Ovis aries: one gene and its partners. The protein of the gene in region 3 binds, or shares a complex with, the protein of the main gene of each other region. Links are inferred from orthologs where the notes say so. Each region holds a gene or a part of one and is shown on either strand. Other genes may lie near its edges. The genes, in order: DYDC1, DNAJB13 and ROPN1L.

Evidence for each region.
Region 1: ROPN1L (region 3) and DYDC1 share a complex: the UniProt entries of both Homo sapiens proteins name them as parts of the axonemal radial spoke complex. The link is inferred for Ovis aries from reciprocal best matches to the Homo sapiens genes ROPN1L and DYDC1.
Region 2: ROPN1L (region 3) and DNAJB13 share a complex: the UniProt entries of both Homo sapiens proteins name them as parts of the axonemal radial spoke complex. The link is inferred for Ovis aries from reciprocal best matches to the Homo sapiens genes ROPN1L and DNAJB13.

The regions. Positions count from the first base shown.
Region 1 is NC_056078.1:34,793,872-34,798,196, forward strand, and holds the start of DYDC1 (DPY30 domain-containing protein 1), read right to left. Parts: upstream 2,884-4,325; 5' UTR 2,605-2,883; intron 2,572-2,604; exon of another isoform or gene 2,408-2,571; intron 1-2,407. UniProt on the Homo sapiens protein: Functions as part of axonemal radial spoke complexes that play an important part in the motility of sperm and cilia. Plays a crucial role during acrosome biogenesis.
Region 2 is NC_056068.1:52,112,805-52,116,451, reverse strand, and holds part of DNAJB13 (dnaJ homolog subfamily B member 13), read right to left. Parts: intron 2,513-3,647; coding exon 2,409-2,512; intron 1,368-2,408; coding exon 1,206-1,367; intron 1-1,205. UniProt on the Homo sapiens protein: Functions as part of axonemal radial spoke complexes that play an important part in the motility of sperm and cilia.
Region 3 is NC_056069.1:62,909,230-62,912,876, forward strand, and holds part of ROPN1L (ropporin-1-like protein), read right to left. Parts: intron 3,381-3,647; coding exon 3,257-3,380; intron 2,121-3,256; coding exon 1,959-2,120; intron 1-1,958. UniProt on the Homo sapiens protein: Functions as part of axonemal radial spoke complexes that play an important part in the motility of sperm and cilia. Important for male fertility.

The DNA of each region.
Region 1 (4,325 bases), on a different chromosome or scaffold from region 3:
CACTAGCATCTTACCCACACAGAGAGAAGAATGATTATAACTGAGTATGGAACACAGTATCCTAATTGTACTTCTTCAATGGGATAATGCTCTAAAGACAAAAATAACTACATTGTCATCTCAATTCCATCTGAAACACACTAGCAATTTCTAAAGGACTTCTCCCTGGTGGCCCGGGCAGTGAAGGATCTGACTGCAGTGCAGGAAATCTGGAACAGATTCCTGCTGCAGCTCCAGAAAGCGAACACAGGAGGAGACAACCCTGGTCTCCGAAAGGAGAAACCGCCCAAGGAGGACTGGTCTCCAACAGAAGCCGGCTGCATCTGCTCATCAACCGAACCCAGGTGAAACTCCTTACTTCCTTCGGCTTGCTTCCTCTCCAGGAAACAGCAAAAATACCCAGCCAGTTGTAAGGCATATTTTTCAGACACACCAACAGGCATCTTGGCTCAACATAAGAAAGCTCATTCCCACAGAAACAGCTGCCTTAAGCCTGGCGAGAATACACAGAAGAACTGTACAAAAAGATCTTCAAGACCCGGATAATCACGATGGTGTGATCACTCACCTAGAGACAGACATCCTGGAATGTGAAGTCAAGTGGGCCTTAGAAAGCATCACTACAAACAAAGCTAGTGGAGGTGATGGAATTCCAGTGGAGCTATTTCAAATCCTGAAAGATGATGCTGTGAAAGTGCTGCACTCAATATGCCAGCAAATTTGGAAAACTCAGCAGTGGCCACAGGACTGGAAGAGGTCAGTTTTCATTCCAGTCCCAAAGAAAGGCAATGCCAAACAATGCTCAAACTACTGCACAATTGCACTCATCTCATATGCTAGTAAAGTAATGCTCAAAATTCTCCAAGCCAGGCTTCAACAATATGTGAACCGTGAACTCCCTGATGTTCAAGCTGGTTTTAGAAAAGGCAGAGGAACCAGAGATCAAATTGCCAACATCTGCTGGATCATGGAAAAAGCAAGAGAGTTCCAGAAAAACATCTATTTCTGCTTTATTGACTATGCCAAAGCCTTTGACTGTGTGGATCACAATAAACTGTGGAAAATTCTGAGAGAGATGGGAATACCAGACCACCTAACCTGCCTCTTGAGAAATCTGTATGCAGGTCAGGAAGCAACAGTTAGAACTGGACATGAAACAACAGACTGGTTCCAAATAGGAAAAGGAGTGCATCAAGGCTGTATATTGTCACTCTGCTTATTTAACTTATATGCAGAGTACACCATGAGAAACGCTGGACTGGAAGAAACACAAGGTGGAATCAAGATTGCCAGGAGAAATATGAATACCCTCAGATATGCAGATGGCATCACCCTTATGGCAGAAAGTGAAGAGGGACTAAAAGCCTCTTGATGAAAGTGAAAGAGGAGAGTGAAAAAGTTGGCTTAAAGCTCAACATTCAGAAAACGAAGATCATGGGATCCAGTCCCATCACTTCATGAGAAATAGATGGGGAAACAGTGGAAACAATGGCTGACTTTATTTTTGGGGGCTCCAAAATCACTGCAGATGGTGACTGCAGCCATGAAATTAAAAGACGCTTACTCCTTGGAAGAAAAGTTATGACCAACCTCGATAGCATATTCAAAAGCAGAGGTGTTACTTTGCTGACTAAGGTCCGTCTAGTCAAGGCTATGGTTTTTCCTGTGGTCATGTATGGATGTGAGAGTTGGACTGTGAAGAAGGCTGAGCGCCGAAGAATTGATGCTTTTGAACTGTGGTGTTGGAGAAGACTCTTGAGAGTCCCTTGGACTGCAAGGAGCTCCAACCCTCCATCCTAAAGGAGATCAGTCCTGGGTGTTCTTTGGAAGGAATGATGCCAAAGCTGAAACTCCAGTACTTTGGCCACCTCATGCGAAGAGTTCATTCATTGGAAAAGACTCTGATGCTGGGAGGGATTGGGGGCAGGAGGAGAAGGGGACGACAGAGGATGAGATGGCTGGATGGCATCACTGACTCGATGGACGTGAGTCTGAGTGAACTCCAGGAGTTGGTGATGGACAGGGAAGCCTGGGGTGCTGCAATTCATGGGGTCGCAAAGAGTCGGACACGACTGAGCGACTGAACTGAACTGAACTGAACTGAAGCCTGGCGAAGCTGTCCAAAGAAACAGAGGTTCCTCGGTCATGCTTGGGAGAAAGCAGGCCGAGTGGGAGAGGAAGGGATCGGATACAGTGGCCAGTTAAATTTAAAATTTCAGATAAACAAGAAACGATTTTGTATTATACACTCTACTATACATGTACTAAACAGTAATTTCTTATGTCTCTGAAATTCAAATTTAACTGGGTACCCCGAATTTTACCGACCTGGATTCCGAGAGCTTCGGTAGCTTTTCTATTCCAGACCCGCCTCCCCTGCCCCTCCAAAAGGCGCGGCGCTGCTCACCAGTGAGGAGGAAGAGGAGTAGGACTCAGCCACAGAGCTGCCTCCCTGCGCTGAGCTATTCCTCTGTCGCACCACTGGCAGGGTCCAAGGGCCAAAGCTGCCTCTGCCGGCTGGAAACCAGCCCAGCACCGGAAGCTGTTCTTCCCAAAAGGCGCCTGCATTCTAGAGGCTGGCGCCTGACGCATGCGCCTACCTACCTGCAGATAGCGTCCCGTTGCTAGGCAATGAGCCCGCGCGCCCCTGGGCTGGAGACTGCCTGGGTCCGAGAGAGAAGAGTGCGTGCTGAGAGCTGAGCTGACTACGCTGGGCTGAGGTCAGAAGAGGCGCGGGCCGGGGCGTGAGCGATGGTGAGGGTTGGAGGCGGCGGCGGAGTAGATGCTGCAGAGAGGAGAAGCTGGAGGAGTGGAAGGTAGGATGCGCAGCTGAGAGGAGGCTGCGCCCAAGGTGTACAGGGTGCTGGATGGAGAGCCGGAAGCACCAGGGTACGTGAGCAGAGACAGGATGTGCAATCTAGAGGCTTTGAGGAGGGGCCAGCCAAAAAGGGGAATTGACCAAGCGAGACTGGCAAGCGCAGTGCACACGGAGAGAGCCAGGACAGAGGCTGACCGGGACGGGGCGGGGCGGGGCGGGGCAGGGGCGGGAGTGGATGTGCGCAAAGGCTACCGGTAGGTGAAGCCCGCACTGCTTAAGGCCAGAAAAGAGTGTAGCAATCTAACATCCTGGTATTTTCTCAGCCTAGCGCTTTCGCACCTGCTGGTGACTTCTGCTTGGATCCTGGCCACTGGGGGTGGGGATAGCACATCTAAGAGCTGTAAATTCAGTTTTACTTGGGGACTTAACTGAGGATTATAGCCCTGCAGACAGCCTCTCAGACAACTCTGAGAAACTGCTTCAGCATGGAAGAGGTGAGGGCAGAGGTCAGCGTATAGGAGATTTGGAGAACGGGTACCTGCAGTCAAACATATATCTAGGTAAAAGTCTACTGCTAGTTATCAAGCACACACAGTTTAATTATTTTATGGCTTTTCTAAGTATGTAAGATGCAAGAAATTGGGTTTGTAAATTTTTGTCCTGAAAGTTTCTGTCTGAAGGTCTATTCTGTCAGTTTTCCCAGAAAGTGGAGTATCTCATTCCTGATTTCCACCCTGAACTCTTTTCAGGCTGTGTTAGTGACCAGTTAACAACTGCTAATGACTCAGTCCTTGTGGAGCCAGCTGGCTGGAGACATTCTTTAGTTGGCACTACTTTCAGAGCGAGCCCGGGTGCCCCCACCTCCAGGAAGTCTTCCAACCTTTTTCATCTCCCCCACCATCTGCAGCCTTCCCTGGGCTAGTTGTTTCGCACAGTTCTTGGCTAGCATTTCCCATGTTTTGTTTCAGTTTATGTGGGGCAGTGCTGGGCACAAGATGCTTCACTAAATGTTGATTGAGATAATAAGTGCCAGCGGGAGCACTGACAGATGGAAGGCTCTTCAGCGTTTGGTCCTCAGTGTCTGCCACACTGCAGTAAGTGTGGCAAACTGGATAAACGATCTGCTCCAAACTTGGTGATCCCACCCCCTGGGAAGGGTAGTTGTACTGGGATTAAGGCAAAGGAGAGCTGTAACTGTGTATCACCTGGGGATTCTGTTAAAATGCAGACTCTCAATCTGTAAATCTGAGGTGGGACCTGAGAATCTGCATTTCAACAACTCCCAGGTGATGCAATGACCACACTTTGATGAGAAGGGGTGTAGAAAGTAGTTTACTTGGGTGCATTGGTTCAGGTGCATTAGTCACAGATTGGCAGAAGCAGCCACCAACACATCCCCATCCCCTCCCTTCACCACTACCCCAAACGTAGTGACTTTAAACACACATTTATTATCTTACAGTTTTTGAAGTTTGAGATCCAAGATGAATCTTACAGGGTTAACGTC
Region 2 (3,647 bases), on a different chromosome or scaffold from region 3:
GGTGGCAGTGGTTGGTAGAGCCAGAAATGACGTGTTAGCTTCCGTGGAAGACGGGTCACAGCATACAGTCCTCCCTACCCTCCCCCAGACTTCATTTCTCCTCACTATTCAGCCCAGCTCAAGACCACTACAGATCTCAGACTCAAGTTCCTATAAAGTCAGCAGCTGAGATCCGGGAGAGGCAGGGTTAATCACTAACCAGTTAGAGAGGTCACCAATATGTCCCCAAACTCCTCTTTCCTCAACTTCTTCTACCCCTGCCCAGCTCTGTGCTGTACAATGGAATCTTATATGCAACTATTAAAATAAATAAGGTAGATCTGTATGTAATATAATGTATAATAAGAGAATCTCTAAGATAAAAGTGAAAAAAATCAGTGTAAACAGTGTGGTCCCATTTTCTTAACAAGATGAAAGGCTGTGTGAAAATAAATCTAAACTCATAAATGCACAGAGTATTTCTAGAAGGATACATAAACTGTAACAGTGAGTGGCTACTTCTGGGGGAAGGAATGGAGGGCTGAAATTTATTTCTTTTTCAATAAATAGGGTTTTTAAAATATATATATATATGGGGCTTTCCAGGTGGCTCAGTGATAAAGTGGAGAAGGCAATGGCACCCCACTCCAGTACTCTTGCCTGGAAAATCCCATGGATGGAGGAGCCTGGTAGGCTTCAGTCTATGGGGTCCCTAAGAGTTGGACACAACTGAACGTCTTCACTTTCACTTTTCACTTTCATGCATTTGGGAAGGAAATGGCAACCCACTCCAGTGTTCTTGCCTGGAGAATCCCAGGGACAGGGGAGCCTGGTGGGCTGCTGTCTATGGGGTCGCACAGAGTCGGACATGACTGAAGCAACTTAGCAGCAGCAGCAGTGATAAAGAATCCACCTGCCAATACAGGAGACAACAGGAGGTGTGAGTTTGATCCCTGGATCAGGAAGATCCCCTGGAGAAGGAAATGGCAACCCATGCCAGTATTCTTGCCTGGGAAATCCTGTGGACATAGAAGCCTGATGGGCTACAGTCCACAGGGTCATGGTTGGACACGACTTAGCGACTGAGCATGGATGACTCTCTCTCTATATATATATTTTATGACTATATATATATTTCTTAAAGTAAACAAAACTACTCAAAGAAAAGCATCTTCTACAGCTATATCCTTCCCTAGTAAGGCAGAGGGGCAGGCAGGGCCTCTTACCGTTAAAGGGGTTATCTCCTCCAAAGAACTCATGGAAAACCTTTTCTGGGTTGCCATGGAAGACGTAACCAGTTGTCCATGGGGTCTGCGATCCAAACTCCAGAGGAATTCCGCCCTTCAGACCCTCCTCTCCAAACTTGTCATAGATGCCTCTTTTCACAGCTGTGGATATGCGTCACCTTGACAAGGGGCCAGCATGGGGGCTAAGAGAGCTGGAGGGCTGGGAAGCCAGAGGATATGGGGCAGAGTGGAAGAAGCAGGGTGAAAACAGACTTATTTCTAAAGTGGCCATGGTCTGGAAGTCTTTAGAGGGAGACACTAGAAGTTAGGGATTTAATTTCACCCTGGGTGGACCTACGTATGGCCCCATAGCCCAGAGGAGAGATGAGAAAAACTAAAACTTGCTGGGGAGGGTTGGGGATTGGAGAAGAAACCAGGAGACTGAGGGTCGGGCTATTGAGCTGGCGTTTGGTTTAACTCAGTCATTACAGCTACTGTCTTATGTGGGTAAATACAGTCCTAGTGCCTTGAGCCTGTAGGATATAAGAAGTCAAGAGCTGCCAAATTCTAGAGCTTGGAAATCCAAAGTCCTGAAAACCTGGGGCTGGGGAAACTTTAGTGATCTTCTGGCCACTCTTCTGCACAGTATCCACACAGCCTCCAGGACAGTGTTTAGGGAACCCACGTGGGCACTGCACCCCACAGAGGCGAGGATCTCTTTCCCCAGGCTTCAGGTTGCCATAGCAGAGAGAGATTTCCCAATCACAGACCTCTCTCTGTCCCTTGGTACTTATGCTGTCCTCAGGGAGAGAGAGATTTGGCTTCTTGGCACTCTGGGAATAACTGGGTATGTCTGCCTCAGCCTTAGCCTTCTTCCCTGGGCAGCAAGGATCTCACTTTGCACCCCTGCAGGGGACAGGTGAGGCCTGGGCGGTGTTGGGGAGCCCCTGCCCCGGGCCCTGCACTGCTGAGACTCGGGAAGCAGGTCAGCCTAATCTGGGGGCTCTCCACACCATGTCCTCTACCTTAGCTTGTGTCTACTTTGCTTAGATTCTGGGCCGGGAAGAGGAATGCTTGCTCTCCATTGGGCCCCCTCAGAAAGCCTGACACTCTTCTGAGTAAGCAATGACATTGAAGGAATGACATTGAAGGCGGGGGCGGTTTGCAGAGGAGCCACCCTCACGCTCAGCCCCAGTCACTCACGGTCACTCAGCACATCGTAGGCCTCTGCTATTTGCCTGAATGTCTCCACTGCACCTGGCTCAATGGATCTCAGCGGGTGGTTCTTAAGGGCAAGTTTCCGGTACCTAGAGAAGAAGGATTAATACCTTGAGGCACAGTCCAAGGCTCAGAGCTGGCTCTGCTGTCAGCTGCCTGCCATTTGTACAGAACCTGAAGTGGAAAAGCTGAGTATCTTTGGCTCCAAGTTTTCCTTTGACCCTTACACCCCTGTTCCAATGAAAACTCACACTGGCTTTTCGTTCTAGATAATGCTTTCTTTTTGCCTCTTCATTTCCACAACTATTGCAGAACTATGTCTTCCTATTTCCAGTCCCCCCCACCCCAACCCGCCCCCGACTCCAGTTTATTCTGTGTGCTGCCACCAGTTTGATTTCTCTCTTTTTGGTTAACTCGCCCTTTTAAGATGCTCCCTGACCAAGTCACTCTCTGCCTGAACCCTTCACTGGTTCCTCCTTTGTCTTTTTTTTTTTTCCTTCAAGGAGTCAGGATTCAAATCTCATCCAGCTCCAGAGTTTCTCTCTTTTTAAAACAACAAAAACATTTTTTAAAATATTTATCTGGCTGTACTGGCATGAGAAATCTTTAATCTTCATTTCGGCATTTGAGATCTTTTAAATGATGCTTTCAAACTCTCAGTTGCAACATGTAGGATCTAGTTCCCTGACCAGGGATCAAACCTGGGCCCCCTGCATTAGAAGTGTGGAGTCTTAGCCACTGGACCACTAGAGAAGTCCCATAAAAACTCAAAAAAATTTTTTTTGGCCATACTGCACAGACCAGGGATTAAACCCAGGCCATGGCAGTGAAAGCGCTGAATCCTAATCACTAGGCCACCAAGGAAATCCCCGCCCTTTGAATTTAGTGTAAAACCCGAATGTCTCTAAGATTCGACTCCTCCTTCTCACTCCGCCCTTCTCACTCACTCCCCTTCCTTGCTGCCACAGCCTCTCTGGTTCTTCTCTCCAGGCTCTGCACTCTGCACGCTGCACTGCTGATGCCTTCAATACTCTCCTGCTTTTACCCGGAATGATCAACCCTCTCCAGCCCCCTTCATCTCCTCCTGGCAAATATTTATTCATCTTTCCACATTCAACTCAGGGGTCCGCTCCTCAAGGATGCCTTCCCTGACTGCAGCCTCCATTCTAGATTAGATTTCCTTTCCAGCAGCGCCAGTGCCTTTGATGCTGGTATTTAGCACAC
Region 3 (3,647 bases):
CCCTGGGGTTTTTTTGAGGGGGTGGGCAGGCCAGGATGGAGCAGGCATCCCAGGCTCTGAACTCTGCCTGGCAGAGGAGCAGGGGACTTTCACACCTGAACCCCCTCCCCAGGGTCAGCTCCCCGCAGAGAAATAAGAGAGAGTCAACGGCCCAGTCCGGGCCCAGGTGGCTTAGTCAGGGGCCAGTGCTGGATCCCCATGGGCTGATGGGCTGAGCGACACGTTCCGGGAAGGAAAGAGAAGTGAGTGTGCTCTTTCCCTGTCACCTGCCCAGGCTTCAGTCCGGAAGGGAAGCTCCATCCTTAACAAATGTCTCCATCTAGCGTCACGCCCCACATACAGCTATGAGGCCTCCTCTTGCAGAACACAGGCTGGTCTGGTTTGAAATCTAGCGCCCGATTCTCCTGATTTGGGAGGGCGCACTTACAAAGATGGATCCCCCAAAGATGAAATATTCTGCTTTCCCATCTTTATAAAAATCTAAGCCTCATAAACCAAGTTTAGAGGAATAAACCATCAAATCAAATATTAGTTATTCATTTTGTGTTATTAAAATCTCCCTTTCCTGGAGCTCCAGATGAACAAAGCCATATAAAATTTCTTCCAGTAACTAAATGCATCTTTGTCCTTCTCAGTGACACCCCACTGCAATTCTCCTCAGTGGCCTCGGAGCCCAGAGACAGGTGGCAACAGGGTCTGGGTTGTCCAGCCCAAGGCTGGCAGGAAACGCCACCTGTGGGCAGGGACACCACGAAAGGGAGCAGCCAGCCTGACTCCCGGCTTTTTTGGGGTTTCTGAGTTTCTCACTGGGGCCATGAACAGAGGTGGTAAAGTACGCGATACTCGCAGAGCGGGCACGGCACAGCAGAGGGAGGTGAATGAACCATAGCGTCTGTAGCCAGGCAGATGAACAAAGAGAAATCTAATTTGGAATCAAAGAAAAGTTCCAGAAGATTAGTAACAACATAAAGCTGAAACCAGCTAAAATTAAATCAAGTATTTCTTGGGGGTCCATAGGCGCTCAACAGGAAGCAGGAGCTCAGGGCAGCCGATGCTTGACGTGGAGGGCAGTGCGGGGATAGGATGGAAGGTTAGCTGCAGGCAGTTAGCTGTCAGTGGCCCTGTGAGGTAGTGTCAGACAAAGTACTGCTAGAGAGTTAAAACGGAATCAAGGAGGCTTGTGCAGGGACCCAAGATGAGGGTGCCCCATGAAGCAAGGACTAAGGATTAGCCAAGTATGTGCTCTGGGGTCCAAAGACTGAAGGGAGGGGGTTGCACACCTGGTCTCGGCAGTAAAAGGAGCTGGCTCTTTTCTCAGTCCTTTTGTTCACACACTGAAAGTGGACTTGACCCCTGGGTCTCATGCGGCGACTCAAATTCTAGAGCTGAAGACAGGCTCTTGACTTCCAGCCCCTCCCCACCACACCCACCGCCCTTCTCAGTTCACAGACTGGAGGAATGTCTGTGTCTTCAGTCCTAAACCTGTATGGGTTATACTTCTTAACATCAGCAAGGTATCTGCTTTAAGTTACTAATAATCGATTTTAACTGCTGTAGGTGACTAATAATTGATTTTAACTAAAATAGAAGATAATTTTATTTCTTTTTGCACAAGAGGGAAACCTATCAATTTGTCAAATGATGTATAGTTTAATAAAAGTCATTGATGCATTCTCTTCTAAACACTGAACACATTTTCATGGTATCTACATGTTTTATCTACTGTTAACATCTTTTACACTGAGGCACTCATAAGTATTTAACTTCTGTAAGTTAAATAACTACAAGCCTAAAATACAATAAGCATCTGAAAAAAACTGCCTAAGACAAAATGACTAAAATCATGAGCATTACTAAAGTGATGAGAGTGTTCTTACAGTTACTGAAACAGCTAAGTTATTTGGACAGCAGGCCTATGATCACTCAGAATTATTAACAGGCTATTTGTAGGTACGTACCCCACCAAGCATGCTGCATCCAAGTGCTAAAAATTTTATCCATTCGATTTTGTCTTCGCAAGGATCCAGCTGCAGGAGAGCTTTGAATTTTTCTATAGGCAGGCACAGATTTTTCCATTTCTGCTCAAGATCTGCTAAGTCCACATACTCCTTGTGGCTACACTATTTGGAAAGCACAGCATGACATAATCGATGTTAAGATGAGGACCTAAGAAATCACATAATGCTTGCAAAGACTTAAATAGAGTACCCATCCCCATTCAAAGATGAACTTCACCATTAGCCCACCACTAGGGGAGGGGAGCGGGGTGGGGGTGTATGTGTGTGTGTCGTGGGAGCTGGGCTACACGAGCAGGGAAGTGGGGGGCGGGTGGTACTGGGAACTAGACTGGCAACAAGTTACTTCTTGAGAGAAAAAAGGACTGTGAAGCGAACATGGCATAATGTTATGACTTAATGAAATGAGCACACGGACATGAGGAGCAACACTTCACAACACAAATAAACTTCCATAGACCAAATGAAATCCAACTCCACAACATGCTGACAGTTAAATAGGAGAAATTTTAACCCAGAAAATACATGTATTCCTTCTACTACTTTAAGACAACTTGATGAAAATGGGTGACTTCTGTGATCTGCTAGCAGTATTCTGCGTGGAAGAGCTTTGAGCAATTTTCGCGTGTCTTCCCCCAGACTACCTCTCTCAGTGGTTATTCGTTTTCCCTTAAGCGAGAAAGCCATGGGAGAATCCCGTGTATAGAAGTCAGCACCCTGGTCAGGAACACATAATGGGGACAAGCCACTTTAAAACTCAGGGCTCTACCACTGATCTGTTTTGGCAATAGAGCCCAATCATTCCGATAAAACACACTTTCTATGAACTCTCTAAGTGAGCCAGTGGGTCTCAAGGGCTTTCAGGAGGGCTGGAAACCAAATACCCCTTCAGATGAAGAAGGTGGCAGCTTATCATGTTTAGCATAGTTTTTATAAACTCATATTTCAAAAAGGATCTTGCAACCCCCAAGTCTGAAATTCCATATTTTCAAACCTTTCATTATAGTCCAATAGCCTCTTGCATCTTAATGCAAGTACTTAAAAAAACAAAGTGTATGTCTATATAATTGTGGACAGTGATCTTGGGTTCTTTAAACCAGAGGAAGGTCACTGAATTCAAGATTCCCTCCTTGATTAAATCTCAAAGGTTCCCTGAAGGGGGCACAGGGCTGTGGATGGATGACTGTGGAGGTCCTGCAGCTTTATCTCAAGCTCAGCTGACTGATCACAGACTCTGATACCTGCTTGTGCAAAACTTTAAGGAGTCCTTGAGTCAGGCCTGTGTCTGTTTTCTGAGTGGCCATGGGCATTTCGATTCTGTCCTTCACGGGCAGTGGATCTCCTCTTGACAAAGCCGAAAAATACCTGAAACAACAATAGACATCTCTGAAGCTTCATCGACACATGCTGTTGTTGTTCAATCGCTCAGTCGTGTCCGACTCTTTGCAACCCCACGAACTGTAGCCCTCCAGGCTCCTCTGTCTGCGGGATTCTCCAGGCAAGAAATACTGGGGTGGATTGCCACTTCCTTCTCCAGTGGATCTTCCCAACCCAGGGATTGAACCCACATCTCCTGCGTTGGCAGGCGGATTCATTGACACACAAGCAGCCCTCAAATTCAGGCACTTTCAT